4 linked regions of the Struthio camelus genome follow. The main gene of each other region encodes a partner of the protein of the gene in region 4 in a complex. Links are inferred from orthologs where the notes say so. Each region holds a gene or a part of one and is shown on either strand. Other genes may lie near its edges.

The links.
Region 1: the proteins of GNA13 (region 4) and ADGRD1 are in contact, whole or in part, in a cryo-EM structure (PDB 9V0U), measured with the Homo sapiens proteins. The link is inferred for Struthio camelus from reciprocal best matches to the Homo sapiens genes GNA13 and ADGRD1. Residues at the interface, in NP_006563.2 of Homo sapiens: Val49, Val216, Phe218, Phe359, Val362, Lys363, Asp364, Ile366, Leu367, His368, Asn370, Leu371, Gln373, Leu374, Met375; in NP_942122.2 of Homo sapiens: Asn599, Arg601, Leu657, Met660, Val661, Ile662, Val664, Phe665, Ser667, Val737, Ile738, Ile741, Ala761, Val764, Asn810.
Region 2: the proteins of GNA13 (region 4) and GPR4 are in contact, whole or in part, in a cryo-EM structure (PDB 9JHP), measured with the Homo sapiens proteins. The link is inferred for Struthio camelus from reciprocal best matches to the Homo sapiens genes GNA13 and GPR4. Residues at the interface, in NP_006563.2 of Homo sapiens: Arg47, Pro341, Tyr343, Phe359, Lys363, Asp364, Ile366, Leu367, His368, Asn370, Leu371, Lys372, Gln373, Leu374, Met375, Leu376, Gln377; in NP_005273.1 of Homo sapiens: Gln45, Asn50, Arg115, Ala118, Val119, Ala120, Pro122, Leu123, Ala126, Ile204, Val208, Ser211, Val212, Ser213, Thr214, Glu218, Lys221, Ile222, Leu225, Asn290, Glu291, Gly292, Ala293.
Region 3: the proteins of GNA13 (region 4) and S1PR2 are in contact, whole or in part, in a cryo-EM structure (PDB 7T6B), measured with the Homo sapiens proteins. The link is inferred for Struthio camelus from reciprocal best matches to the Homo sapiens genes GNA13 and S1PR2. Residues at the interface, in NP_006563.2 of Homo sapiens: Arg47, Val216, Phe359, Lys363, Asp364, Ile366, Leu367, His368, Asp369, Asn370, Leu371, Gln373, Leu374, Met375, Leu376, Gln377; in NP_004221.3 of Homo sapiens: Ser66, Met68, Tyr69, Leu72, Arg130, Ala133, Ile134, Lys136, Val137, Lys138, Leu139, Tyr140, Tyr209, Ile212, Val216, Ser219, Gln227, Thr228, Leu231, Leu232, Val235, Tyr288.

The regions. Positions count from the first base shown.
Region 1 is NC_090958.1:14,127,931-14,135,576, forward strand, and holds the start of ADGRD1 (adhesion G-protein coupled receptor D1), read right to left. Parts: upstream 3,014-7,646; 5' UTR 2,867-3,013; intron 2,451-2,866; 5' UTR 2,350-2,450; intron 659-2,349; 5' UTR 111-658; coding exon 1-110. UniProt on the Homo sapiens protein: Adhesion G-protein coupled receptor (aGPCR) for androgen hormone 5alpha-dihydrotestosterone (5alpha-DHT), also named 17beta-hydroxy-5alpha-androstan-3-one, the most potent hormone among androgens. Also activated by methenolone drug.
Region 2 is NC_090957.1:1,502,456-1,509,757, reverse strand, and holds the start of GPR4 (G-protein coupled receptor 4), read left to right. Parts: upstream 1-4,286; 5' UTR 4,287-4,421; intron 4,422-6,744; 5' UTR 6,745-6,853; coding exon 6,854-7,302. UniProt on the Homo sapiens protein: Proton-sensing G-protein coupled receptor activated by extracellular pH, which is required to monitor pH changes and generate adaptive reactions. Activated by an optimal pH of 6.8-7.2.
Region 3 is NC_090972.1:4,939,676-4,946,892, reverse strand, and holds the start of S1PR2 (sphingosine 1-phosphate receptor 2), read right to left. Parts: upstream 3,013-7,217; 5' UTR 2,777-3,012; intron 1,946-2,776; exon of another isoform or gene 1,931-1,945; intron 1-1,930. Other genes in the region: MRPL4 (large ribosomal subunit protein uL4m), read left to right, coding at 5,681-5,731, 6,634-6,727. UniProt on the Homo sapiens protein: Receptor for the lysosphingolipid sphingosine 1-phosphate (S1P). S1P is a bioactive lysophospholipid that elicits diverse physiological effects on most types of cells and tissues.
Region 4 is NC_090960.1:3,531,827-3,538,940, forward strand, and holds the start of GNA13 (guanine nucleotide-binding protein subunit alpha-13), read right to left. Parts: upstream 3,016-7,114; 5' UTR 2,988-3,015; coding exon 2,627-2,987; intron 824-2,626; coding exon 597-823; intron 1-596. UniProt on the Homo sapiens protein: Guanine nucleotide-binding proteins (G proteins) are involved as modulators or transducers in various transmembrane signaling systems.

The sequences.
Region 1 (7,646 bases), on a different chromosome or scaffold from region 4:
TTCTTCATGGTCTTTTTAAGGTTAAAAGACCAATAGAGATCAAATTCCTGTAATGTTTCAGTCATAAATTTTCCTTTGCTCCTTTTTGTATTAAAAGGGACATTTTCCATGCAGGTTCAAGAATTCTGTTCCTTCAGCAATGGCAAAATATTCTTCCAGATCCTTTAAGGAATAACTACTTGCTTCACACTTTGATCTCTTCATTTATCCGTAAATAAATTACCATGATTGGAGCAAGATTATAAGAAACGTGCATCAGATCCAAAAATTGTATTCTTCCATGGAAAGAAGTCAAATATTTCTGTTATAATCTATGCCAAACAAAAAGATCCGTTTTCAACTTTCTTTCTATAGTTGTCTTTTCCTTTCAATTACTTTCACGTTGTCAGAAATCTGAAGCCAGTTTTGGTTTTGCTAGCAAGAAAGTGTACTTCCTTATAGCGTGTAGGGCGTATAACTGTTTCCTCGGGAACTGGACTAAAATGACTTGTTAACTCCTCGCTTGTCCAGTTCACTTTTGCACCTCCATCTCAGATCATTTTTGGGTGGAGAGCAAGTCTGAGTGATGTCATGCTTTCTTCTCAAACTTTGTCCCATTCTGGTACTCTATTTATATCACGTTGCTGCTGTCTCTTTTCAGGGTCCTAACACCAGCCAGCTAGAGGAGCAAGTGGAAACAAGTCAATGTGGTTCAGCAAACAGACTAAAGAGATCGCTGTTTTTAGTGATCTGCACGCTTAGAGAAGAAACAAAGCCAGGATAAGTGTTCATATTTCAAACCCATAAGAATAACAGATTTGGGAATGAAGTTTTTGAAGGAGATCTAAAAATTTATATTAAAATAAGTTTGTATTTCTGCCTAAGAAATACGAGTTATAAAAACTAATTAAGATCACCTGGTACTCTGAGGGATTAGGTTTATTATGTCTCTATCAAGATGGGGAAACTGAGGCACTAACCATTTGATTGATTTATTCAAAGCTACACAGCAAAACTACCGGACAAGCTGAGAAAAGACTCCCAAACTTCTATAGAAGCCACTGTACTTCCATTCCCTTTTATTTTTATCAAAGTTAAACAAATTTAAGTACATTTTTTAATAAAAGCCTCACAATTACTACATTCTAAACTCTATCACATGCATTAACCACTATTTTATATGTTAAAAAAAGACAGCTAGAACTGGTTAATATATTCATTTACTCTTTTCTTCTGTGTTAATATCTTGTTTCTGAAAACAAGTTCCCAAGTTCTTTACTTTCTTAATGAAAAAATTGAAACAATATATTTTAAACAAATTTTGATAAGCTCTCCATCCCTGTTCATCTTTTCCCTGCATTCCCATTTCAGCTCCTTCTTTATCCTCACACAAGCCATATACACTTGAGGTAAGCAACATTAGAACTTAAGAAAACTGAATCAGACCATGCTAACATCTCAGCAAAATTCAAATTATTTTATCGTTTTTTTAGCTTAGAGGTATATCTTCTATAGCTTAGAAGTATAAGTTAGATCTTGTTTTCAGCCCCAGACACCTACTCAAGCAGCAAAGCATTCTCTACCTAAAATGCATGGATATACAAGATGTTGATCTACAGAAAAAGATATCGCACAATTCTGCTTCCATGCACACCACTGACAATCTATGGCTGTCTTCTGACTCTTAGGTGTTTCAGCTACCCTTTCTCTCGACCTTCCATTTTGTGTCTCTTGGTTTCATACCTTCAGGTTCCTGTATCAGCCTATGTTTACCTGGTCCCTTTCCTTAGGTCTACTCCTTCCAGCATATTAACCCTCTTTCTTACTTCTTAATCTCAACTTCTTCCATACTAGGCTGTTGGCTAGAGAAGGTTATTGCTTTTTTGATGAAATAATTTTCCATTGACGCTCTACAGAGATCATATAGCAGGAAGGCCAGTAGGTTTGTCTAGCGACCATGGTCCTGATTTACCCAGCTGGCTCCTCAGATGTATACCGAACTTCTGAAGCGTCTGAAGGTATCTAGTTCCTTGCAGGTGATTGTCTAGTTGATTGGATTCCAAAGACTGAAGCTCCTTTGGGCTTTGATTAAAGACTTTGGGCTCCAAAGACTGAAGAGAACATATTTAATTTCAGGAAGTAGTAAGATATTCATGCCTCGTGAATATTTGAATGTTACCAAAATTAGTTATTGTAAGAAGTTCACTATTGGGAAAAAATTAAGTATTTGGATTGTAGCCATGACTGTAGACCTACACAATAAAAGAACTCTGAGAACTTCAAATTTTTGTAGGAAGTGAAATTTGGTTTCCCACTTAGTTATAACTGGCCTGACTTTTGCTTATTCCCCCTTTAAGTTTTACTACTTACTCCTTCCATTGTTACAGATAGCCAGAAACTCCTCTGTATCCAGAAATTCTGCATCATGTACTAACAAGTAGAGCCACCTTAGAAATAATGAAGAGCTGCAGCTAAAAAACATGAGAAAAACTAAAATGTAAAAAGAGAAAAACAAGAATTTGAAATATTTGCCAAGAAGGGCCTGTCAAGGAAAAGAATATACCTACCAAAACAATTGCGAGAATCCAAGCAAACATGTTCACTGCCAGAAATTTTTGTGGCAACAGCAAATTGCAAGCAGACAGAGATTATTTACAGAATCAAATTCTGAATTTATTAGTGTGATTCCCTGGAAACTGATCTGAAAAGTCACACTGCTCCCACCACAGACCAGAAGTAGTACAGGGAATCTTGCATGCAAGCCGGATCAACCAATCCAACACTCAGAAGACAAGACGTTACAGTCAGTTATTGAAGAACTTGCAGATGAAACAACGTTCATTTAAAGTACTTGCCCATCACTAATAGCACAAAGCTCTGTACGTACTGTGTGGATAACTGCAGGCAGCCTATGCTAAGCCCCCTGGACAGGTTGCTTCCAGGATCTCTCTCCCACCCAGCTCCCCTGGTGCCCTCCTGAGTGAGGGAGGGGGGAGCGGCAAGCCCCGCTGCAGGCTCTGCTACACAGCGCAGTGCTGGCAGCAGCTCACTGAAAGGCCTCTCAATTTTCTATCCCTGCCAAACAGAGAGCAGCAAAGGCTGGGGAGGAGCTGCTCTGCAGCTAGGACGTTTGCTGACAGGTAGATTTAAGTCCCCAAACAGAACAGAAAGCCTGATGATCTGCATCAAAAAAAAAAAAAAACAAAACAAAACACCCAACCCCATACCAATAGAGAAAGAGAAAAAAGAGAAAAAGAGCACTGGGATTTTATATGCCCCATGGCAGGGAGGAAGGGGAAAGGTAGTTGTTGTGAGGTCTGGGTAGGGGTAGAAGTTTTCAAACAAAGAGTTTAACAAAAATAAAGATCAATCTTTCTGACACAGGTTGGGGAGATTTTGTACTTCAGTTGCAATGACTTCACAGCAATAACTAGCATGTGCCTATTTAATAAAAAAGTGAACTGTGAGCTACCATGAGAAAAATTAAACTTAACTTAGTTCCAGCTTCCTTTGTTCACCTCCTGTTCAATCAGAATGATTATGTTATTAAAGAAGAAAATTAATGAAATGCTATACCTGAAATTTATCCTGAAGTTAAAAATCCTTACTACGTAATCTTAACTACGTAAATACAAGCAAAGAGAATAACAGAATCTGTCTTACACTACAGAATAAAAAATTTGTACGGTTTTCTTCCATTGTTTTCATTGGAATCATTAAGTTCATGAATAAGAACTTAGCGCATAACGGGGATTGAAGGGTTTAACAAAACATCTTAGAAAGGAGCAGCTTAAAATCTAGCTGTTAAATTTAATCTTAAATTTCTGTAATATCACAGCCTCTGCTAATACTCCAATAAATATTCTGGATAGAAATGGCTCCCTGGTCAAAAATACAGGCATTAACTAGCTGGTTACAGTTGATACTAACACACACCTGTGGCAATTTTTAATTTTAGTGCTAATTTTTCTGGCTTGTCATGAACCTTCCAGAAAAGTAGTTGACGTACTATTATTTAATGTCTATTGCTCGCACACACGCAAAAAACCCCCACACCACACAGTTTAGGAGAAAAATTCAGCTATCCTTCCATAGCTTCTAAGGTATTCTTGAAACTACTCAAATAATCACATGGGCAGTTTGATTAAATTTACACATCCACAAGGAACAAGAACATGATCCTCTGCCATACTTACCACCTTCTCAATACACACCTTTGTGACTAGTATAGCCATTTTAGTCAGGAGATTGATATTATTTATTTACTCACAGAACTCCAAAACAGAAGTGGTTTTACAGATACCAGGGTCACGACTAACAAAGCTTTTCCCTCCCTTCTCTTCGTATAAGTTATTCCAACATTGAATTGTGTCTCTATACGCAAGAAGAGTTTCTTGCCCTCACTGTTGATGAGAGCCTGTGAAGTAGGCCTTAAGCAAGACTGCAGCAACGGGATGGCCGTGTGCTGGCTCTCAGACCTGATCTGACATATTCAGTCAATGGCAATGCATTGCCATTGTATTTAGAAACCTCTTACTGAGGTCACACTCAACAGGAAGGCCAAGGACCTAACAAAATGCTCTCTCTAGTTATCATACAAGGTTGAAATGCCATGAGGGACAGCATAAAGAACCTGTCCTTGCTGATGACTGGACTGTCATGACTCATGGAGAAGCAGTTTGCCTTGTACATTTTGTCCTTCTTTGACTTGCGCATCCCTATCTCACATCCTTTCTTCCTGCATTCTGTACACAGTACAGTTGATGGACAGGAAAGGGAGTTAAAACTCTTTTCTTCCTGTTGGCTACATCTCAAGTACTAGAAGGTGTCAGTGTCTACAGTGCAGACTGAAAGCTCTTCTGTTGCACGGCTCATTTCAGTCTTTCAAAGGAGCCAGGGCTTGGTCTATGCTAGCTTCACCCCATTCACCAAGACTATAACTTTGTTTTTGAAAGAAGCTGTTCCCATATTCTGGCAGACAGATTCAACCTGCATTTGGCAGCACTTAAAACAAAAGTGCTGCAGTTCGAAGGGTTGGGGTTTTTTTGTGTTGTGTTTTTTTCCTATTTTCTAACCTCTCATTTCTTCTCTTTCAGTCCCCTCGCTCAAAAGAATGTTAGTATGAACTGCACTGGGTGAAAATATTTCACTGTCACAGTAGGTTGCATACAATGTCTTTTATTCAGGCACCTCAAAAGAATTAGAGTTTACTTTACTAGCTCTCATTGTTATAATGTACATAGTTTACACTGTAAATGAAAAGTGAAAACAGATGCAAATTACATGATTGAAGATGAGAATTTACTTCTTTCGGTCAGTTCCAGCTGTATTTTTCCAATCAATCGGTGGCCTTAGACATCTTTCATGTATTTGCATATTCTCCCTATTCATTTCTTCCTGAGAGTCAACTGATATTAACCTTGGCAAGAATCATCACTAAAAATCCAGCGTGAAATCTGAAATACGATTTTTTTTTAGATTTCCAACACATAGCAAAAAAAAAAAAAAAAAAAAAAAGAACCCAAAAAGCCAAAGAGCCCTTTCATGCATTTTAAGGAACAATTTTAGTATAATAAAAGACCTTTTAAGAAAGCATTACACTAGGATTTTGTACAGGCTTTAAAAATTGTCTGCAAAACGTATATTGCCTTTGAAAGAAAGTATGATACAGGAGAGGCACGGATGTTTTATTAGCGTGAAAGATCGTTCTAATAAAATCTGTATGCATTTATATCTGTATTAGTGTGATTAATGATAGGAAGATTCTTCAATAGCGCAACCAGACTGCTGAGTCAGAAGATATCTGATCTGATGTAGCAAGCTACCTCATGAGGAGCACAGCACTCTACCAGGCCCACTGACTTTGTCAGGGCTCCACCTGCACAGGAATCACTGCTGATAAGGGACTCAAGTACTTCTCAGAACAGCAAAGCACCACAAAAGCCATGAAAACACTTAATCGTTAAGAAATATCAGACAAAAGTTATTTGCACAATGCCATCTAACAAAAGAATCTAAGGAAGGCAGTGGCCAGTGTTCTACAGTCAGCCTACGACACCACAGATAGTAAGAGACATTTTGGCAAAAATAAGTCAGAAAGTAAGCCACATTCTTACGAAAATATCACATGAGATTTCCTTTGAGTCAATTATATCAAGAAGGACAATAGAACAGTTCATACTGGAGAAAGAAACAAATAAACAAATCTTGGTGTGAATTCACAAGGCCAATGTTATCATACAAAAATATTTTTCTAATTAAGAAAACGTGAAGCTGCTGAGTTGGTGCCAGAAAACAAAATCCAGCTTTTTGGCAACAAAATTTAGGATTAGTCAGATAAAATACTTATACCATGCTACAGTTGTAATGTTAAACCGATTAATGTTTTCGCAAAGAATAAAAGGTAAGAGGCTGATCCAAATACAAGCAAGCACATAGCTGTCATACAACAAATTATGCATTTAAGTTCTTCGGTGCCACTTACTGATCAAGAGTTACTGGATTTATCTTTTTATTTTCTATTTACTATCATTGTGATAGTGCCTTGAACATCTTACCCTGGACACTAAAAAAAGCGTCATTTTTCGAGAATAGTTTAGGCTTTTGTGCAACTCAAGATTTGTAGGTACACAATGCATTTAATTGAATCTTTGATAACCTAGGCTAAACCTCAGTGTTTAGCAACAGAACGTTAAGCTTATGTGAAGTCGGCTAATCCTATAATAAAAAATACATCATGTTTTAATATATGATTAAGCCAAGTCTCATTTGCCAGAGAGTCACTGCCTATATTAACTGCGTATTTTTTGGCACCATTCAGGTAGTCATATTTTCTGTAACAGAGATGTGTTTCACAATGATAAAGTTTCTCCTTTGAAATTTTGCCAATTTCTCTTTTGTAGGCTTACTTAATTTCTCCCATGCCCTTCTGGGTAAAAGCAACTCCATGAAAATTTCATTCAACCACCTTGTGAAATAAGTTTATCGTTCAGTCCAACACAAATGGAGTTTACACCCAGAAGCCATTCTGCATGTTATTTCTCAGTAGGAACATCTGAGCCCATTATAGATGATATTGAAGACTTTATTCCATAGGAAATAACACATTCTTGTCTTTTGTAGTCTTATTTTAGAACTAAGTGGCAAAAGGAATGAGGGTGGGGAGAGAAATCATAAAGAGATTTGACTAATATTGGCAGTGGCTGCCAAATGTGTGTTCTTATTAAGATCTCAATCATCAAATCTGAACTGCAACTGATAACTGCAAGAACAGGTAAACTGATAGTCACCATGCAGAAAACCACATTCGTGCCACTGTTCACAAGTTCACAAACATGCATGTACAGCAACAGCAAAAGCTATCTCCAGAGGTGAGACTAGTGCAGCAATGATGCCTTGTCTATGTCCAAAGGCATGTATTTACTATACTTAGTTCATCTCCTGCTTAAAGTGCTACTCTGAGGGATTTTGCTTTTTTGAATGATCTAAATTATTGATTTTCCCCATTTACTATCAATGTTCTTTCAGTATACTGCAGAAAAGCAAGCTACAGTAAAACCAATCGTACAAACATGATTTTTTGGATATGAAAACTAATATGGAACTAAGATGAAAACACTCTCCTCTTCTCTAAAGGGTTTGCTAATCTCAGCAACTTCCATAGCCTC
Region 2 (7,302 bases), on a different chromosome or scaffold from region 4:
GCATCGTTAGGGGAGGTGCATCCTTGGGTGCATCCTTGGGTGCATCATTAGTGGAGGTGCATCGTTAGGGAGACGCATCGTTAGGGAGGTGCATCCTTGGGTACATCCTTGGGTGCATCATTAGTGGAGGTGCATCGTTAGGGAGACGCATCGTTAGGGAGGTGCATCCTTGGGTGCATCATTAGTGGAGGTGCATCGTTAGGGGAGGTGCATCCTTGGGTGCATCCTTGGGTGCATCCTTGGGTGCATCATTAGTGGAGGTGCATCGTTAGGGAGACGCATCGTTAGGGAGGTGCATCCTTGGGTACATCATTAGTGGAGGTGCATCGTTAGGGGAGGTGCATCCTTGGGTGCATCGTTAGGGAGACACATCGTTAGGGGAGGTGCATCCTTGGGTGCATCCTTGGGTGCATTGTTAGGGGAGGTTTGTCATTGGGTGCATGGCTGGGTGCACCCTTGGGTGCCTCGTTAGCGAAGGTCATCGTTAGGGAGGTTCGTCGTTGGGCGCATCGTTGCGGGGGGCAGCCGTGGGCGCGGGGTGGGACTGGGTGCTCCAGGGGTCGGGGCAGCACCGTGGGGGGGGGGGCCCAACACCCTGCCGTGGGGCACCCCGTGCACCCGCCGTGGGGCACCCTGGGCTCCTCCAGCACCTGCCGTGGGGCACCCCACCCCCGTGCCCCCCCCCGGGGTGCAGGCATTGGGTTGGGTGCGGGGTGCAGAGACGGGTGCAGGGACCAGGATGGGTGCAGGGAAGGGTGCAGGGCTGGGTGCTGGGTGCAGGGACCAGGATGGGTGCAGGGAAGGGTGCAGGGCTGGGTGCTGGGTGCAGGGACCAGGATGGGTGCAGGATGGGTGCAGGGCTGGGTGCTGGGTGCAGGGAGCAGGAGGGGTGTAGAGCTGGGTGCTGGGTGCAGGGACCAGGATGGGTGCAGGGACCAGGATGGGTGCAAAGACAAGTGCAGGGCTGGGTGCAGGGAGCAGGAGGGGTGCAGCGAGCAGGAGGGGTGCAGGGAGCAGGAGGGGTGCAGGGAGCAGGAGGGGTGCAGGATGGGTGCTGGGTGCAGGGAGCAGGAGGGGTGCAGGGATGGGTGCAGGATGGGTGCTGGGTGCAGGGACCAGGATGGGTGCAGGAACCAGGATGGGTGCAGGACAGGTGAAGGGCTGGGTGCTGGGTGCAGAGACTCGTGCAGGGATGAGGATGGGTGCAGGGATGGGTGCAGGGCTGGGTGCTGGGTGCAGGGAGCAGGAGAGGTGCAGGCGTGGCTGCAGGGCTGGGTGCTGGGTGCAGGGAGCAGGAGGGGTGCAGGCGTGGCTGCAGGGCTGGGTGCTGGGTGCAGGGAGCAGGAGGGGTGCAGGGATGGGTGCAGGATGGGTGCGGGGTGCAGGGAACAGGAGGGGTGCAGGATGGGTGCTGGGTGCAGGGAGCAGGAGGGGTGCAGGGATGGGTGCAGGATGGGTGCTGGGTGCAGGGAGCAGGAGGGGTGCAGGGATGGGTGCAGGATGGGTGCTGGGTGCAGGGTGGGGGTGCAGGGCTGGGGCCGGGGGGGGCGGAAGTGGGTGCAGGGCCACACGCCAGTGCTGCACGGCACGGCACACGGCTGCACACGCCATGGCGCACACACGCACACGGCTGCACACACGCCACGGCTGCACACGGCTGCACACGGCTGCACACGCACACGGCTGCACACGCACACGGCGCACACACACACACGGCTGCACACGGCTGCACACGCACACGGCTGCACATGCCATGGCTGCACATGCACACGGCGCACACACACACACGGCTGCACACGGCTGCACACGCACATGGCTGCACACGCACACGGCTGCACACGCACACGGCTGCACACATGCACACACGCACACACGGCTGCACACACGCACACGGCTGCACACGCACACGGCTGCACACATGCACACACGCACACACGGCTGCACACATGCACACGGCTGCACACGCACATGGCTGCACACGGCTGCACACGCACATGGCTGCACACGCACATGGCTGCACACGCACACGGCGCACACACGCACACGGCTGCACACGGCTGCACACAGCTGCACACGCACACGGCGCACACACGCACACGGCTGCACACACGCACATGGCTGCACACGGCTGCACACACGCACATGGCTGCACACGCACACGGCTGCACACGCACACGGCTGCACACGCACATGGCTGCACACGCACATGGCTGCACACGGCTGCACACACGCACATGGCTGCACACGCCATGGCTGCACACGCACACGGCGCACACACGCACACACGCACACGGCTGCACACGGCTGCACACACGCACAGGCCCGCACATGCCACGGCTGCACACGTGTGTGGCCTGGGCCCGGCCCGGCACTGCCCTCTCGCTCGCGCGCACCCCGGCCCCTGCCAGGGCTGGGGCAGCCCCCGGCTCGGCCTGCTCTGGGGGGGCCTCTGCACCCCCAGCCCCCTCAGCCACCCCCCAGCCCCTCTGCAGCCCCCAGCCCCATTGCACCCCTCTGCAGCCCCCCCAGCCCCTCAGCACCCCCAGCCCCTCTGCACCCCCCAGCCCCTCAGCCACCCCCCAGCCCCTCTGCAGCCCCCAGCCCCATTGCACCCCCTGGCCACCCCCAGCCCCCTCTGCACCCCTCTGCACCCCCAGCCCCTCTGCACCCCCAGCCCCCTCTGCACCCCCAGCCCCTCTGCACCCCCCAGCCCCATTGCACCCCTCTGCACCCCCCAGCCCCCTCTTCACTCCCAGCCCCTCTGCACCCCCAGCCCCCTCTGCACCCCCAGCCCCTCTGCACCCCCCAGCCCCATTGCACCCCTCTGCACCCCCCAGCCCCCTCTTCACTCCCAGCCCCTCTGCACCCCCCAGTCCCATTGCACCCCTCTGCACCCCCAGCCCCTCTGCACCCCCCAGCCCCATTGCACCCCTCTGCAGCCCCCCAGCCCCCTCTGCACCCCCAGCCCCTCTGCACCCCCCAGCCCCCTCTGCACCCCTCTGCACCCCCAGCCCCTCTGCAGCCCCCCAGCCCCATTGCACCCCTCTGCAGCCCCCCCAGCCCCTCAGCACCCCCCAGCCCCCTCTGCAGCCCCCCAGCCTCATTGCACCCCTCAGCCACCCCCCAGCCCCATTGCACCCCCTGGCCACCCCCCAGCCCCCTCTGCACCCCCCAGCCCCCCCTGAAGCCCCCCAGCCCCTCTGCACCCCCCCGAGCCCCATTGCACCCCCTCTGCACCCCGCAGCCCCTCTGCAGCCCCCCCACCCCACTGCAGCCCACAACACCCCCTGCACCCCATAGCACCCAACCCCTCCTGCACCCCCTGTGCCCCCATCCCGGACGCCTGGGTCCCCTCCAGCCTCCCCAGCCGCTGCCTCAGGCGCCGCCGCTCTATTTGCATAGCCACGCCCCCTTCCCTCGAGGGGGCGGGGCCTCCCCCCCCCCCCCAAACCAGTGACACCCCCCCCCCCCCCCGGTGACTCCCGTCCAGCACCGAGGGGGTTACCGGAGACCGGACCCCGGGGAGATGGGGGGGGGTTACCGGGGGGGGGCACCGGGGCGGGGGGGCGGCCGGTGCCGGTGCCCCCCCCCGTGCCCCCCCCCGCTCCGCCCCCCCCCCCCGGGGCCGCCCAGCGCCGCCAGAGCCCGAGCGGCAGCGGCGGCCGGAGGCGGCTGCACCGGGGGCACCGGCACCGGGCTGAGCCGGGGCCGAACCGGGGCACCGGGGGCACCGGGGGCACCGGGGGCACCGGGGGAACCGGCACCGGGCTGAGCCGGGGCCGAACCGGGGCACCGGCACCGGGACTGCACTGGGACACCGGCACTGGGACACCGGCACCGGGCTGCACTGGGCTGAACCGGGACACCGGCACCGGCACCGGGACACCGGCACTGCGACACCAACACCAGCAGCAGGACACCGGCACTGGGACACCATCACCAGCACCGGGACACCGGCACCGGGACACCAACACCAACACCAGCACCAGGACACCAACACCGGCACCGGCACCAGGACACCGGCACCGGGACACGGGCACCGGGACACCAACACCGGCACCGGCACTGGGACACCGGCACCGGGACACCAACACCAACACCGGCACTGGGACACCGGCACCGGGACACCAACACCGGCACCGGGACACCAACACCGGGACACCAACACCAACACCGGCACCGGGACACGGGCACCGGGACACCAACACCAACACCAGCACTGGGACACCGGCACCGGGACACCAACACCAACACCGGGACACCGGCACCGGGACACCAACACCAACACCGGCACCAGGACACCGGCACCGGGACACCAACACCGGCACCGGGACACGGGCACCGGCCGCGGGAGGAGCCGCCCAGGGCCGGGGCGCCCCGTCTGCACCGGGGGGGGGGACCGGCCCCGACGGGGACACGCGGTGAGTGGCACCGCAGCCGGGCCGGGTCACCGGGGGGGGGGGACCGGCCGCGATGGGGACAGGGAAGGGACGGTGGCAGCGGGACAGAACCGGGCACATGGCCGGTGGCACCGGGAGGGGAAGGGGGACACGATGAACGGCATGGGGACCGGGGACGTGGCCGGTGGCACCGGGAGGGGGGGGACCGGCCGCGATGGGGACAGGGAAGGGACGGTGGCAGCGGGACAGAACCGGGCACATGGCCGGTGGCACCGGGAGGGGACCGGGGACACGGCTGGTGGCACTGGGGTGACACAACCACTGGGACAGGGACCGGGGACGCGGCCGGTGGCACCGGGAGGGGACGGGGGACACAGTGAACGGCATGGGGACCGGGGACATGGCCGGTGGCACCGGGAGGTGACCGGGGACGTGGCCGGTGGCACCAGGAGGGGACCGGGGACACGGCCAGTGGCACTGGGGTGACACAACCACTGGGACAGGGACTGGGGACGCGGCCGGTGGCACCAGGAGGGGACGGGGGACGCGGTGAACGGCATGGGGACCGGGGACGTGGCTGGTGGCACCGGGAGGGGACCGGGGACACGGCCGGTGGCACTGGGGTGACACAACCACTGGGACAGGGACTGGGGACGTGGCCGGTGGCACCGGGAGGGGACCAGGGACATGGCCAGTGGCACCGGGAGGGGACCGGGGACATGGCTGGTGGCACCAGGAGGGGACCGGGGACACGGCCAGTGGCACTGGGGTGACACAACCACTGGGACAGGGACCGGGGACGTGGCCGGTGGCACCAGGAGGGGACGGGGGACGTGGCCGGTGGCACTGGGGTGACACAACCACTGGGACAGGGACTGGGGACGCGGCCGGTGGCACCAGGAGGGGACGGGGGATGCGGTGAATGGCATGGGGACCGGGGACGTGGCCGGTGGCACCGGGAGGGGACCGGGGACGCGGCCGGTGGCACTGGGGTGACACAACCACTGGGACAGGGACCGGGGACGTGGCCGGTGGCACCAGCACTGCGATAGGGTCAGGGAGGGGACCCGGGACACGGCCGCCGTGGGGACGGGGACTGGGGACACGGCCAGTGGCACGGGGATGGGGAGGGGACATGGGCACTGCGGGGACAGGGACGGGCAGGAGCAGCCTGGGGACACCAGGACAGGGATGGCCTGGGGGCCACCGGCACCAGGGACTTGGGGACATCGGGATAACGACTGGGGGACGCTGGGGCGACAGGGCTGGCGGTGTCACCCCCGGCGTGGCCGTGTCACCCTCGCGGTGGCTGTGTCACCCCCGCTGCAGCCGTGTCACCCCACAGCGGCCCTTGTCACCGCGCTGTGGCCGTGCCACCGTCACCGTCCCCAGGCGGGCGGGGGGGGGGGGACACCGGATCCGGCCGGGCTGGAGCCGTCGGAACAATTCCCCAAATTGGCATCAGCGGCAGCAGCCGGCCGGCGTCACCGTCCCTGTCACCGTCCCCATGGGCAGCCAGGCACGGGGACAGCGACAGCGGGGGGGGACGGGGAGGGCTGAGCCGGGGCGGGGGGTGAAGCCGGAGGGGGGAGCTGAGCTGGACAGGGGGGTCGCTCTGCCCCCTCCGTCCCCTTAACTCTGCCCCCTCCGTCCCCTTAACTCTGCCCTTCTGTCCCCTTCGCTCTGCCCCCTCCATCCCCTTCGCTCTGCCCCCCTCCGTCCCCTTCGCTCTGCCCCCTCTCGCTCCTTCGCTCTGCCCTTCTGTCCCCTTCGCTCTGCCCCCTCCATCCCCTTAACTCTGCCCCCTCCGTCCCCTTAACTCTGCCCTTCTGTCCCCTTCGCTCTGCCCCTCTCTGTCCCCTTCGCTCTGCCCCTCTCTGTCCCCTTTGCTCTGCCCCCTCTCGCTCTTTCGCTCTGCCCCTCTCTGTCCCCTTCGCTCTGCCCCCTCTGTCCCCTTCGCTCTGCCCCCTCCGTCCCCTTAACTCTGCCCCCTCTGTCCCCTTAACTCTGCCCTTCCGTCCCCTTCGCTCTGCCCCTCTCCGTCCCCTTAACTCTGCCCCTCTCCGTCCCCTTAACTCTGCCCCCCTCCGTCCCCTTCGCTCTGCCCCTCTCTGTCCCCTTTGCTCTGCCCCCTCTGTCCCCTTCGCTCTGCCCCTCTCCGTCCCCTTCGCTCTGCCCCTCTCCGTCCCCTTAACTCTGCCCCTCTCCGTCCCCTTAACTCTGCCCCCCTCCGTCCCCTTCGCTCTGCCCCTCTCTGTCCCCTTTGCTCTGCCCCGTCTGTCCCCTTAACTCTGCCCCCTCCATCCCCTTCGCTCTGCCCCTCCCTCCCTTAACCCCGCTGCAGCCCCCAACACCTCCCATCACCCTCTCCCCCTCCACCCCACCCCGCCAGACCCAACGCCATGGGCCCGCCGTGACGCCCCCGTCGCCTCCGCCGTCCCCGCCGCCCGACCATGGGCAACGGCACGGCGCCGGGCTGCCAGGTGGACGCCGACCTGGACCACCTGCTGCCGCCCTGCCTCTACGCGGTGGCCATGGGCGCGGGGCTGCCGGCCAACGGGCTGGCGCTGTGGGCCGCCCTGCGCCAAGTGCGCCAGCGCAACGAGCTGGGCGTCTACCTGCTCAACCTCTCGGTGGCCGACCTGCTCTACCTGGCCGCCCTGCCGCCCTGGCTCCACTACTTCTGGCACCGTGACAACTGGCTGCACGGCGCCGGCGCCTGCAAGCTCTTCGGCTTCGTCTTCTACGCCAACATCTACGTGAGCATGGCCTTCCTCTGCTGCATCTCGCTGGACCGCTACCTGGCCGTGGCCCACCCGCTGCGCTTCGGCCGCTTCCGGCGGGTGCGCACGGCGGCGGCCGTCAGCGCCGGCGTCTGGGCGCTGGAGGCGGCCGCCAACGC
Region 3 (7,217 bases), on a different chromosome or scaffold from region 4:
CACGCCAGTGCACGCAGAGGCTTGTGCAAACAGAGGCACACACGTGCCAACACGCCAGTGCACACAGAGGCTTGTGCAAACAGAGGCACACACATGCCAACACGCCAGTGCACGCAGAGGCTTGTGCAGAAGCACACATGTGCCAGCATGCAAGTGCACGCAGAGGCTTGTGCAAAGAGGAGCACACACGTGCCAACACGCCAGTGCACGCAGAGGCTTGTGCAAACGGGGGCACACACGTGCCAACACGCCAGTGCACGCAGAGGCTTGTGCAAACAGAGGCACACACGTGCCAACACGCCAGTGCACGCAGAGGCTTGTGCAGAAGCACACGTGCCAGCATGCAAGTGCACGCAGAGGCTTGTGCAAACAGGAGCACACACGTGCCAACACGCCAGTGCACGCAGAGGCTTGTGCAAATGGGGGCACGCGTGTGCTGGCACGCTGGTGCACACAGAGGCTTGTGCAAACGGGCACACGTGTGCCAGCACACCAGTGCACGCAGAGGCTCGTGCAAACAGGGGCACACACATGCCAACATGCCAGTGCACGCAGAGGCTTGTGCAAATGGGGGCATGCGTGTGCTGGCACGCTCGTGCACACAGAGGCTTGTGCAAACGGGCACACGTGCTGGCACACTGGGGCACACGCAGAGCCTTGTGCAAACAAGGGCACACGCGTGCTGGCACGCTGGGGCACACGCAGGCTTGTGCGAGGGCTCACGCGTGCTGGCACCCGGGGCCGCGCCGCACGGAGGAGCCGGGCGAAGGCCTCGAGCGCGGCCGACCGTCAGGCGCTCGCTCGACCCTGCGGGCCCGGGCGCCGCGGGAGGAGCCGCGGGCCGGCGCTCGGCGCGGGCGACACGGGTGGGCGCTCGGCGGGACTGATGCTGCCCGGGGCCGGCGCTCGGTGGGGGCCGTGGGGCGGATGCACCCCAGGACCCCGACGGGGCCGATGCTCCCCAGCACCCCGGGGACATCGCTCTATGGGGGCCCTGGGGCCGACGCACCCCAGGACGGCGGGGACGATGCTCAACGGGGCGGATGCTCCCCAGGACCGCCGGGGACGATGCTCGGGGGGGCCCGGGGCTGACGCTCAGTGGGGCCGACGCACCCCAGGACGGCGGGGACGATGCTCAACGGGGCGGATGCTCCCCAGGACCGCCGGGGACGATGCTCGGGGGGGCCCGGGGCTGACGCTCAGCGGGGCCGACGCACCCCAGGACGGTGGGGCTGACGCTCAATGGGGCGGATGCACCCCAGGACCAAAGGGACAACACTCGATGGGGTCCGGGGCCGACGCTCGGGGGGACGGACGCATCCCAGGACCGCGGGGCCGACGCTCAGGGGGCGGCAGCAGCCCTTCGGGACCCCCCCCCCCAATCTTGGCGCCTGCTCCCGGCGCAGGGGGGCCTCGACGGCGGCGCTGGGGGGCCGGACGGGCCTGGGCGCGGGGCTGTGGCGGCCCCGCTCCATCCCCGCCTGCCGGGGGGTCTGGGCCTGGCTCCAGCCGCGCTCCCGCTCGCCCGGGGCCCACGCGCGACCGCGACCCACGGGGCAGCCGCACCCCCACGGGAGTCCCTAGCCCCCCACAGCCCCACCGCACCCCCACGGGAGCCCCGAGCCCCCCGCGGCCCCACCGCGCCCCCAGGGGAGCCCCGAGCCCCCCACGGGAGCCCCTAGCCTCCCACGGCCCCGCCGCGCCCCCACGGGAGCCCCGAGCCCCCCACGGCCCCGCCGCGCCCCCACGGGAGCCCCGAGCCCCCCGCGGCCCCGCCGCGCCCCCCACGACGGCGCCGGCCCCCAGCGCTCCCCGGCGGCGGCTCGGACGCCCGGTCCCCGGGAGGGGGGGGGACGGGGGGGGGGGCGGAGGCGGCATCGCCGACGGCAGCGAGGGCGCGCGGGGACCGCGCACGGCGGCGGCATCTTACCGGCGGCGGCGGCGACGCTGCTGCCCGCCGGCCCCGCGCCCCGGCCCCGGCGGCCGGTTGCAACATGTGCAGCGCGGGCGGGTGGGTGGAGCGGCCGGGGCCATCCCCGCCCCGCGCCCGCCGAGACCGGGCCCCGGACGCCTGGGCCCCTTGGCAGAGCAGGGGTCCGGGGGCGGCGGGGGCCAGGCCCCCGGATGCCTGGGCCCCCTCGGGGAGGAGGGGTCCGGGGCGCTGGGGTTGGGGATGCTGGGGGCGGCGCTCCCCCCCGGACGCCTGGGCCCCCTCGGGGAGGAGGGGTCGGGGGCGCTGGGGTTGGGGATGCTGGGGGCGGTGCTCCCCCCCCCCTCCGGACGCCTGGGCCCCCTCGGGGAGGAGGGGTCGGGGGCGCTGGGGTTGGGGATGCTGGGGGTGGCGCTCCCCCCCCCCCCGGACGCCTGGGCCCCCTCGGGGAGGAGGGGTCGGGAGCGCTGGGGTTGGGGATGCTGGGGGCGACGCTCCCCCCCCCCGGACGCCTGGGCCCCCTCGGGGAGGAGGGGTCCGGGGCGCTGGGGTTGGGGATGCTGGAGGCGGCGCTCCCCCCCCCCTCCGGACGCCTGGGCCCCCTCGGGGAGGAGGGGTCGGGGGCGCTGGGGTTGGGGATGCTGGGGGCGGTGCTCCCCCCCCCCTCCGGACGCCTGGGCCCCCTCGGGGAGGAGGGGTCGGGGGCGCTGGGGTCGGGGATGCTGGAGGCGGCGCTCCCCCCGCCCCGGACGCCTGGGCCCCCTCGGGGCACTGAGGTCGGGGGCGCTGGGGTAGCCCCCCCCCCGGACGCCTGGGCCCTCCCCAGGGCTCGGTCCCTCCTCGCACCTCTCCGCAGAGCCGGGGGCCCGGCCGGCGCCGGGGGGAAGCGGGTTTCGTCACAGGGCCGAGCGCGACCTCGGTGCCTTTCGGGAAAGGGCCCGGCGGCCGCCCGCGCCGGGTATTTCCAGGGGGGGCCGGGGGCGCGGGCAGCCCCGGAGGATTCCCCGGCCGAGGCCGGGTCCGGCCGGCGGCGTCGACGTGTCACCCGGCCCGGCGGCCTCCGCCGGGGCCCCCCGCGGTTTCCTGCGCCGGCGGCGAGAAGCGAAAGCGGCCGGCGGGCGGGCGATGCCCTGCGCCTCCCCGGGGGCCGCGGCGGGCGCCGGGCGCCGCTCGCCCCGCAGCCCCCCGCCCCGCACCTCTCCCCGGGCCGGGACGACGGAAACCCGGGGGCTTTCCGGGCCGGCGAAGGGGGCGGCCGGGGGCGGCGGGTGCCAAGCGGCCGCCCGCCCGCTCCGGCTCGGGGGAACGCGGCCCCGGAGCCACGGGCGGGGGGCTCCGGCCCGGCCCCCCAAGCCCTGTGGGACACCAGTGGGGGGCTCCAGCCTGGTGGGGGGCTGCAGCCCGGCGGGGGACTCCGGCCGGCCCCCCGAGCTCCCCGGGACACCGGCGGGGGGCTCCAGCCCGGCGGGGGGCTCTGGCTGACCCCCCAGGACGCCGGCGGGGGGCTCCAGCCTGGCGGGGGGCTCCGGCCTGGCCCCCCAAGCCCCGTGGGACACCAGTGGGGGGCTCCGGCCCGGCGGGGGGCTCCGGCCTGGCCCCCCCGAGCCCCCCGGGACTCCGGCGGGGGGCTCCAGCCTGGCGGGGGGCTCCAGCTGACCCCCCAGGACGCCGGCGGGGGGCTCCAGCCTGGCGGGGGGCTCCGGCCTGGCCCCCCAAGCCCCGTGGGACACCAGTGGGGGGCTCCGGCCCGGCGGGGGGCTCCGACCTGGCCCCCCCGAGCCCCCCGGGACTCCGGCGGGGGGCTCCAGCCTGGCGGGGGGCTCCGGCCTGGCCCCCCAGGACGCCGGCAGGGGGCTCCAGCCTGGCGGGGGGCTCCGGCCTGGCCCCCCTGGGCCCCCCGGGATGCTGGTGGGGGGCTCCGGCCCGGCGGGGGGCTCCAGCTGACCCCCCAGGACGCCGGCGAGGGGCTCCAGCCTGGCGGGGGGCTCCAGCTGACCCCCCAGGACGCCGGCGAGGGGCTCCAGCCTGGCGGGGGGCTCCGGCCTGGCCCCCCAAGCCCCGTGGGACACCAGTGGGGGGCTCCGGCCCAGCGGGGGGCTCCGGCCTGGCCCCCCCGAGCCCCCCGGGACTCCGGCGGGGGGCTCCAGCCTGGCGGGGGGCTCCAGCTGACCCCCCAGGACGCCGGCGGGGGGCTCCGGCCCGGCGGGGGGGCTCTGGCCTGGCCCCCCTGGGCCCCCCGGGATGCTGGTGGGGGGCTCCGGCCCGGCGGGGGGCTCCAGCTGACCCCCCAGGACGCCGGCGAGGGGCTCCAGCCCGGCGGGGGGCTCCGGCCCGGCCCCCCCCCGCCCCCCCAGCGGCCCCTGCTCAGCTCGGGTTTCTCGGCCCGGCCGGCAGCACCGTTAATTGGAAGCAGGCGGCGGCGGCAGCGGCGCCCCAGCCCCTTGGCCGCGGCCCCCCGCCGGCGCGGCCGGACGCCTGGGCCCCGGCTGCCCCCGGCCCGGCCGGGCTCGGCGCCGGGACGAACGTCGCCCTCAGCCTGGGGCCGCGGCGGGGACGGCGCATCCGGGCGCCCGGAGCCCCCGGAGCCCCCAACCTCGGAGGGAGCCTTGGGGGGGGCGCCCGGAGCCCCCAACCTGGGAGGGAGCCCCGGGAGAGGGGGGACCCCGGCCCCCCTGGAGCCCCCCAACCTGGGAAGGAGCCCCGGGAGAGGGGGGACCCCGGCCCCCTGGAGCCCCCCAACCTGGGAAGGAGCCCCGGAGAGGGGGACCCCGGCCCCCCTGGAGCCCCCAACCTGGGAAGGAGCCCCGGGAGAGGGGGGACCCCGGCCCCCCTGGAGCCCCCCAACCTGGGAAGGAGCCCCGGGAGAGGGGACCCCGGCCCCCCTGGAGCCCCCCAACTCGGGAGGGAGCCCCGGGAGAGGGGGACCCCGGCCCCCCTGGAGCCCCCCAACCTGGGAAGGAGCCCCGGGAGAGGGGGGACCCCGGCCCCCCGGCCTGCAGCGGCCGGGCTGAGCTCCGCCGCTGGCCGCCCTCCTTCCCGGCCCCTCCCAGCCCGGCTCCCCCCCCTCTCCCCCTCCATCCTCCTCCTCCTTCTCCCCTCCATCCTCCCCCTCCTTCTCCCCCTCCATCCCCCTCCTCCCTCTCCCCTCCATCCTCCACCTCCCTCTCCCCTCCATCCTCCTCCCTCTCCCCCTCCATCCTCCTCCCTCTCCCCCCTCCATCCTCCTCCTCCTTCCCCTCCATCCTCCTCCTCCCTCTCCCCTCCATCCTTCTCCTTCTCCCCCTCCATCCCCCTCCTCCCTCTCCCCCTCCATCCTCCACCTCCCTCTCCCCTCCATCCTCCTCCTTCTCCCCCTCCATCCTCCTCCCTCTCCCCCTCCATCCTCCTCCTCCTTCCCCTCCATCCTCCTCCTCCCTCTCCCCTCCATCCTTCTCCTTCTCCCCTCCATCCTTCTCCTTCTCCCCCTCCATCCTCCTCCTCCCTCTCCCCCTCTATCCTCCTCCTCCTCCTCCCCCTCCCTCCCCCTCCCTCCTCCCTCTCCCCCTCCCTCCTCTCTCCCCTCCCCTCCCCTCCCCTCCCCCCCCCTCCCCCACAAACACCTTCCGCCTCCCTCCCGCCGGAAGTGACGCTCCGGAGCGCGCGGGCGCCGCCCACCCCGTGACGTCATCGCCGCGCGCCGCCGCCGCGCGGTCCCGGCGCTGCCGACCCGACCCGACCCGACCGGACCGGCCGGCACCCGCCCAGGCCGCCATGATGCTGGCGGGGCCCCGGGCCGCGGCCTGCGCCAGGGCCGCCGCGCGCGTGAGGGCGGGGCCGGGGGTCGGGGGTCAGGGGGTCAGAGGTCAGGGGTCGAGGAGATGCTTAGGGGCCGGGTCAGAGGTCAGAGCAGCGCCGGGGTCAGGGGTGAAAGGTGACACCGGTGTGGAGGCGGGGGCAGGGGTCAGGGGTCGAGGTGATGTTTAGGGGCCGGGTCAGAGGAGCGCTGGGGGTCAGAGGTCGAAGGTCGAGGAGATGTGTAGGGTCAGAAGAGTGCCCGGGGTCAGGGGTCAGAGGTCGAGGTGATGTTTAGGGGCCGGGTCAGAGGAGCGCTGGGGGTCAGAGGTCGAAGGTCGAGGAGATGTGTAGGGTCAGAAGAGTGCCCGGGGTCAGGGGTCAGGGGTCGAGGTGATGTTTAGGGCCGGGTCAGAGGAGCGCTGGGGGTCAGAGGTCGAAGGTCGAGGAGATGTGTAGGGTCAGAAGAGTGCCCGGGGTCAGGGGTCGAAGGTCGAGGTGATGTTTAGGGGCCGGGTCAGAGGAGCGCTGGGGTTCGGAGGTCGAAGGTCGAGGAGATGTGTAGGGTCAGAAGAGTGCCCGGGGTCAGGGGTCGAAGGTCGAGGTGATGTTTAGGGGCCGGGTCAGAGCAGCGCTGGGGTTCGGAGGTCGAAGGTCGAGGAGATGTGTAGGGTCAGAAGAGTGCCCGGGGTCAGGGGTCGAAGGTCGAGGAGTGCCAGGATCAGGGGTTAAAGGTGACACCGGTGTGGAGGTGGAGGGCAGGGGTCAGAGGTCAAAGGCCAAGGTGATCTTCAGGGGGCGGGGCAGGGTCATGGGTCAAGATGCCCGGGGGGGTCAGAGGTGGGGGTGGGGCGGGGGTCAGAGGGCCAAGGGCAAAGGTCAGGGGTGAGAGGTCGGCCTGTGCCCGCGCTCACGACCCCCTCTGCCCCCAGGCTCTGTCCGTCCCCGCGGGGCCCCGCGACGGCCCGGCCGCCACCGCTGCCACCGCCACCAGCGTCACCACCGCCGCTGCGGCGCCCCCGAGCCGTGAGTCTGGGGGTCCTGGGCTGGGTGTCCCCAGGGCTGGGAGGTGCAGGGGGTCCTGGGGCTGAGGGTGACACGATGGGGCCGGGTGTCCCCAGGGCCGGGGGGTCTGGGGTCTTGGGGCTGGGGGTGACACGACGGGGCCGGGTGTCCCCAGGGCCGGGGGGTCTGGGGGTCTTGGGGCTGGGGGTGACACGACGGGGCCGGGTGTCCCCAGGGCCGGGGGGTCTGGGGGTCTTGGGGCTGGGGGTGACGCAATGGAGCTGGATGTCCCCAGGGTCAGGGGGTCTGGGGGTATTGGGGCTGGGGGTGACACAATGGGGCCGGGTGTCCCCAGAGATGGGGGGTCTGGGGGTCCTGGGGTTGAGGGTGACACGACAGGGCCGGGTGTCCCCAGAGTTGGGGGGGTGCGGGGGGTCCTGGGGTTGAGGGTGACACGACAGGGCCGGGTGTCCCCAGAGTTGGGGGGGTGCGGGGGGTCCTGGGGCCGGGA
Region 4 (7,114 bases):
AACTGTGTACTCCATCTTCAGCTGAGAACTTCAATATAACAAAAACCTCATTACATGAGAATTAACATACACGTTTAAATTTAAACAGGAAGTATACACAGGGAATGCTTGCAAGATAGCTCAAATTGGAATTGAGAAGGGAGTGGTTTTTAAATTCTTCTGATTAACCCATGCATATCTTTTCTTAAAAATCACAATACTATTAAGCCTTTCTTTATTGTAATCCAATGTTTTTTTAATGCCAATACACTATTTAACAAGGGGTCAGAATAATCATATGGTAAACACACTACACAGCTTCTAGCCATCAGCTCCTAGCTTAGTTACGGAATTAAAAACTCTGTGTCTCAGTTCTCTCACACATGAAACGAGGACAACTGTGTCAGAGCTCTTTATTATTCTTGGTTTAAAAAAAGAAAAAAGGAGTTAAACACATCTGTTTACAATACCGTAGTGTAACACTCAACCATTCAAACACGCTTAACATTCACATGGAGGCTGCTTGATCAGCGTTTCATTGAAAAGCAATATAGGAACAAGACATCATACAAGACATCATACACGCTCAACTAAAAACACTGAAAGGCAAATCTTACCAGCTGGAATTCTCTGCGCCTGTCATACGCATGCTGGATACCACTATCTGCCCATAGCGCTCTGATAGCTGGAAGGTACTGTAAAAAAACCGCTGTCTCCACCATTCCTTGCACCACTGTGACTGACCGCGTATCAAAAGCCATCATCGTATCTCCATTGCTCTGGTTGGCGGGATCTCCCCAAGGAATATGAAGTTTCTCTCTGGCATCTACGAGGACTCTCACACCTTCAACAACATGAAAGAGCATCGCAATTAGAATTTCTCAGCATCTACTGTTTCACTAGCCTACAAGTTTGTAAAGACTTGAACAATGCACTTACTCCGTGTGCAGTCAGAGTTCAATAGGACTAACCACACAGTAAGAAATAATGAAATGTCTGCAAAATTGACTCAAAGCATTAAATTTTCAAGTAGCCCCTGAGATATTTGCTACCAGAAGAACACAGCCCTGATCACGACCATAATATCCATAGTACCAGTACAACTCTCGCAGAAGCACTACTTTTAGTGAGTAAATCCGTGCTATCAAAACTCTTTAACAGATATTTACACTTTTTTTTCTGATCCCCAGAACCATTTTCTGGCTGTTACACTGACCTGGCGGGAATAATAAGACAAATGAAGCACGTCTAAAAGCTCATTTCAGAATATATTTAACTATCTGAGGCCTTATTTTAAGGTTTCCTAGTCATTGTATTCTAATGAGCTTGGTATCTACTTATACCTACTTGCAGAAAGTAGCCACTGCTATTAATATTTTCAGAGCTATGAAGGAAACATTTACTAAAACCACAACTTCTAAATTTTACGTCTTTACTTCTTAAGTGCAGAAGGGATCTTATCACCTAAACATTGTCACACTTTTTTTTCTTTTTTGCAACAGTAAATATTCTCTAGTAGAAGCTGAACATTTTAAACCTGCTTTACACAGGACTTCAAAGGAAAAAAAAAAGGAAGAAAGAAAGAAAAGAAAAATCGTGTTGTGCCAAGGCTGATAACGCAATGATAACGCAAATGCAAGGAAATAAATTCTGGTACTAGATTTAATGATGGTGAGGGAAAAAAACAAAAATAAAAAGAAAACTCCAGAAGAAAGAACAAGCAACCATAAAGGCACGGGAGAGGCATAAGGAATCAAGATGTACTAACAGCTGGCTCTATAACAACACACTGGTTCAACATCGTCAGTACCATCTTTTCAAGAATCACTGCCTTTTCCATCTGTCAAAACCTATGACTGCAGGAACGTAGCTACAAAGTAAGATTTGCAGTTCTTGCCTGTGTGCTTTTACAGAGTAAAAGTTACCTGATTTTATTAATAGACCATAATAAGGTTAATGTACCTGCTCATAATTGCTACTACCCTGCTATTTATAAATAGGCTTGGTTTATAAATAGTTTTCTAAAGCAATTCTCTTTCAGAATCAGCAGGACTTAGGCCACAAAATACCCAAGCCCCCCCCCCTCCCCAAAACTCGGGGCCGGGGGTCTTACAGCGCTTCGCTATGTTGAGCGACTTAGTCAAGGCTTCGCTCGGACGCGACACAGTCCAGCTCGAAAGCCAGGCGAGCAAAGGCAGCGATGGAGGGAAGAGGGAGCAAACGCGGATGACAGCGGGGAAGTCAGCGGTCGGCTCCTCAGCCATGTGCGCAGGCTCCCGGCACCGCGGCTCCCAACGGGGCTCTGCGCGGGGGGGGGGGGGGGGGGTTCCTCCGAGTGGATGTGTCAGCCCGGTTGCCGGCGCCGCGCCCTCCCGCAGCCAGGTGCGCGCTCCGCCCGTCCCCCCGCCGCTCGCTGCCGGCCTCCCTCCCTCCACCGGCAACGGCCGCCGCGCCGCGCCGCTGCTCCCCTCCTCCGCCGGGCCCGGCCCGGGCCACCCGCCGCCCCGGGTGCGTGTGTGGAGGGGGGAGGGGGGGGAACGGGAGGCGCTGCCCGTGCGGGATGGCGCCGCGACCCCCCCCCCCACACACACCCCACAGCGGGGCCCGGCCCCGTCCCGTCCCCGCGGGCGCCGCCGCCCTCACGCACCCTTGATCACGTTGCTGTAGATGGTGGCGCGGAACTCCTCGCGGGCCGCCCGGTCCCAGTCCTGCCCGTGGATGATCCGCATCTGCTTGAGGAAGGTGGACTTGCCGCTCTCGCCCGCCCCCAGCAGCAGGATCTTGACGAGGCGCTTCACGTAGGTCTTCTCGCGGTTGAGGCACTTGTCGATCTCCTTGGACTTGCGCTGCTGCTCGGCCTCGCCGCTGGTGAGCAGGCAGCCGGGGAAGCAGCCCGACAGCACGGAGCGAGACGGCAGGAAGTCCGCCATCTTAGCGAGCACTGCCAACGAGGGGAGCGGCCGCCCAGCCCGGCCCGGCCCGCAGCAGCCCGCTCTCTGCCCGCGCATGCGCGTCCGCCGCCCCGCCCCGCCATGTGACACCTCCCCCCCCCGCTCCCGCCGGGCACGCCCTCTCACGTGACTGTGGGCGCCGCCGCCGCTGCCGCCCTGCGGCCGCCGCGAGCGGCCTTCGTCACGTGACGCCCCTCTTCCCGCCCTTCACCCGCAGGGCTCCCCCAGACTGTCACGTGACCGCGGCGCGAGCCCCGCCCACGAGCGGCCCTCACAGGAAATGGCGGGAGGGCGGAGGCGGCGGTTAGACGTGTTGAACGCTGCTGCCGCTCACGGCTGCCAGAGCCGCAAACGCAGGCGAAGTCTGTGCTCCCTTGAGGGAAACTGAGGCCCGGCCTTCCCCCCCCCCCCAAAACCGGTGCGCGGGCGCAGGGACGCACGCCTCGGCCATGGTGGCGGCCCGGCCCGGCGCCTCTTCCAGGAAGCGGATAGCGCAAGCGGCTGCGGGGGGGTTCAGCCCTCGGTCAGAGGGTGCAGGATGGAGCCTGCCAGCTCAGCAGTTTTTGTTCTTGGTAGAAAAAGAGAATCGTTTCTGTACAACCTTCTGAACGATTTGGCATGCGCTTCCTGTCCGCTCCTCTGCAAAGAGATGTGCCACCACGTTGGAAAAACGTGCCGAGTTTCACGCGGGGGTCATAAGCAGACAGAGCCAGCAGCACTTTCTATCATCTCGTAGCTTAATAAGAAACAAAGCACTTTAAAGTGTTTAAAGGTTCTCCTAGGGATACTTTGTTAAGGATGGCAAACGTTTACGTGTGGGATAGAGAAATAATAAGCTGAGGGACAAGCAAGGATTGAAAATCCCCTCTTGGTGTGAACCGCCCCTGAGGACGGTTGATTCTGTTTTACCATTTGTGCATCACGAGCAGAAATTAACCTGCGAACGCACCACCGAATACCAGCATGGCACTCCACTGCCTCCACAGGCCTACACTGACTGAAGATCTGGTCCATAATATTAAAGGCAAAAAGATCGTTGTCTTTGATTATTGATACAGTCGTTCAAATCTATCCAGAGAAGTCTTAGTCCTACATATTGGTCAAATCAGACTGCTCTCGTATAGCAGCCCACTGACATGTTGGTTGTTGTCTGAAGACGTAAGGACACATCTGACTGAAAAACTCGCATACGCGAGTTACGTAGGTCAGCTGCGAATATGGTACATCTGTGTCATGCTCCTCTTGATGTGGCCACTTATAGACTATATTGCAGAAATCACATATATACATGCAAGTGCCTATGCAATAGTTACATTAAACATTTCTTTTATCTCCCTTTATTACATCTCCTTGACTTTGGCACCTACTGATTTCTTCCCTCAGTGCTCTGATGCTTTTTCTTAACAATAATTTTAAGTTTAAAAAAAGAAAAAGGAAGAGATGAATGAGGAAACTGTTAGCTGAGCTTAACATGAGAAAATGTCACTGCCTGTTTACTGCAAGGACCCTCCTTCTTCAAAATCTGTGATGAGTATTAATGTTTGCACCTTATATAGGGGATGTGCCCACAAGGAGATAAATTCCATGTGAGTTATTCCACATGATCTTTATAAAAAAAGCATTTATCAAAAGAGAGCAGGATGTGGTTGCATAAAATTCATCTAATCATCCAAGAAGCACATCTTAGTGGTCTTAGTATAGAAACAAAAGCCAGCAATTCTTGAGCTCTAGTCCAAGTTTTAAAACCAAGAGATCTTTGCTGGCTTGACACAGTTCTCTGAGAATCTCATCTTCAGAAATGCAGAAGACTCCCAAGCTCCTACAATTCCTCTTGGAGTTAAGTAGTTTTCAGTAAATGAAAATCCTGCCAACCTTTCTCATTGCGTGCTTCTTGTCTGCATAAGGAAACTGTTAACAGTACTTGTGCTTTCCTTCAAAAGGTTTAATGTTCTTCCAAAAGGGAAATGAACATTTGTTGCCTTTTAGTGAAGGAGAGAGTTAAAAACAAAGAGGTCAGGGCCAAAATATTAAAACAAATTTTGGGTGCCTCCTTTGTGAGAAACTGATGAACTCCTACCAGTAAAGTATACCAAAGAAAACCGGACTAAGTCATAGATTGAGAAAATCATGGTTGTGCAGCAGAAAAGATAACGACAGCCAAGCTTGGGAAAGGATGACTTGTGTCTGCCTTCTGGGCCAAACAGCGAGATGCACCTAAAATCATGGGGTGCAATGATAAAGGGGGTGAATGAAAGAAGAGTAAAGGCTATTTTCCTGACAGTAATATGACCTTCCAAACCCAGGCCATCCCTTGCTGGAAGTCAGAACTGTGTCAGAACAGACAGGCATCCCCTAGGGCTACCTGTGCTTCCTTTCAGTGCTGCTTCAGCCTCTCATCTAGTTCTCCCTGGTAGTCTCAGTTTTGTCCTTTTCCTTCCTCTTTTTCCTCCTTTCACTTCACTTTCCCTCATCCACCCACCCAGCCAGTGACTTTGCTACAGCCTCCCCCTTCTCTGGCTTCTCTCTCCAGCTGCCTGCAGCCAGCTGCCCTGTGTAACCATCATCCTCCAGTCATCCGCTTCCTGCTGTCCCCCTCAACGCAGGGTCCTGGTCACTCCTGCCTGCTCTCAGTTTGTCACCTCATTCTCAACGACTCCCATTCTTCATTTTCAACTGTCCAGAGCACCTCATTTCTGGGTAGTCACTGGCCTCCTCCCAGCGCTACCTTCGCTTCTCTCCCCTTCACTCCACATTCCCAACTGTGCCCTCCAAAATCTTCTAGCTGTACTATTCCCAATCTTCTGTTGAAGGGACATGGCCTTCAGCATGCTGCAGAGAGGGAAAGATTATTCCCCACTACATTAAAACCTGAGCTGAGGATGACCAGAGTTCCCTGGGGAGGACATTAAAGTGGGCTCAATGTTATCCAGCTCAGCAGGGAAAGCAAAATATCTCAGTCCTGGGTCAGGTGTTAACCCAGCTGCATCCTCTCTCCCCAGCAGCCAGGTCTCATCTGTAAGGCAGGGTGCACAAGGTCTTTCTCTGTTTTGCTTTTTTCCTTCCTCTTTGCCATTTCTTTCCTTGGCTTTCCTGTCCCTGGAAGGTCCAAGAGTGACGGGAAACGAATGCTTGCTGCCCATTCCTGCTCCCAGCTCTTCCCACGTGGCTGCTGAGAAAACCCCTCATTTTCAGTGGTTGTGCCCTAGCAGAATAGGACGATGGACTGTGGAGACATTGCTTTAACTATTGCCTTGCAACGGCACTTGCGACTAAGTCATGTGTCTCTCCATGCTGTAGTTTCCACCTTTTTTTGGTAAACTGCTTTGAAATCTTCCTGGAAGGAACTAGGTGCTGAAATTCAGTCTGTGCTTGACGTGCTCACAGTACCATTCTCATTGCTGCATTTACGTTAGCCCCTTCCTTCCCCTCACCACCATCTCCAGTTTCCTTAGAAAGCTAGTTACTCACCACATGTCTTTTGTGTTGCCTGACAGAACTTCTGATGTGTGAACAAAGGGCAACCACGTAGGAAATGTGATCTATAAAAAAGGGGGGGATTCCACCTACCATGCTTTTCACAAGAGAAAGCAAAGAGAATCGTCATCTGAGCTGTGAATGGGTCTATTAAGAATGAGGCTAACTTAAAGGGACTTTGGAAGGAGAATGGAGAGACAAAGTTTAAGGTCTCATTGGACCTTTCTCTGGCAATTCAAGGGGTATTGCAACCAGGAGATGACACAGGGGACCAGCTGCAGCTGAAGAGGGAGTAAGCTGAAGTGGAGGTCTGTTGTGTGTTCAGTGTGAGGTGTGCCCCCGGTTGGCATGGTGTGGCTTTTCTCTGTGGGCTCTAGTGCATAATTCAGCATCCAACACGTGCTGACTTTACCCTGCTCTGTCAGAGTGCGTTTCATGGCCCCCAGGCACAGGCACAGTGGGATCTGCATGCTCTGGAAGGCCCATGGGCTTGCATTGCCACCGCATGGTACGTGGACCACATGAATATATCTTCACAATGGCATCACATACCACAGGTGTGGGACATGAACATTCATGCAAACATACCGTTACATAAATAGCATTGGATTCACATTAGAAAACAGGCACTGTGAGGTACAGTGATCTCCCCAGAAAACATGTTTCTTCATTATGAGGGGTGCTGTAGGTCAGGACTAACTTGGAGATCC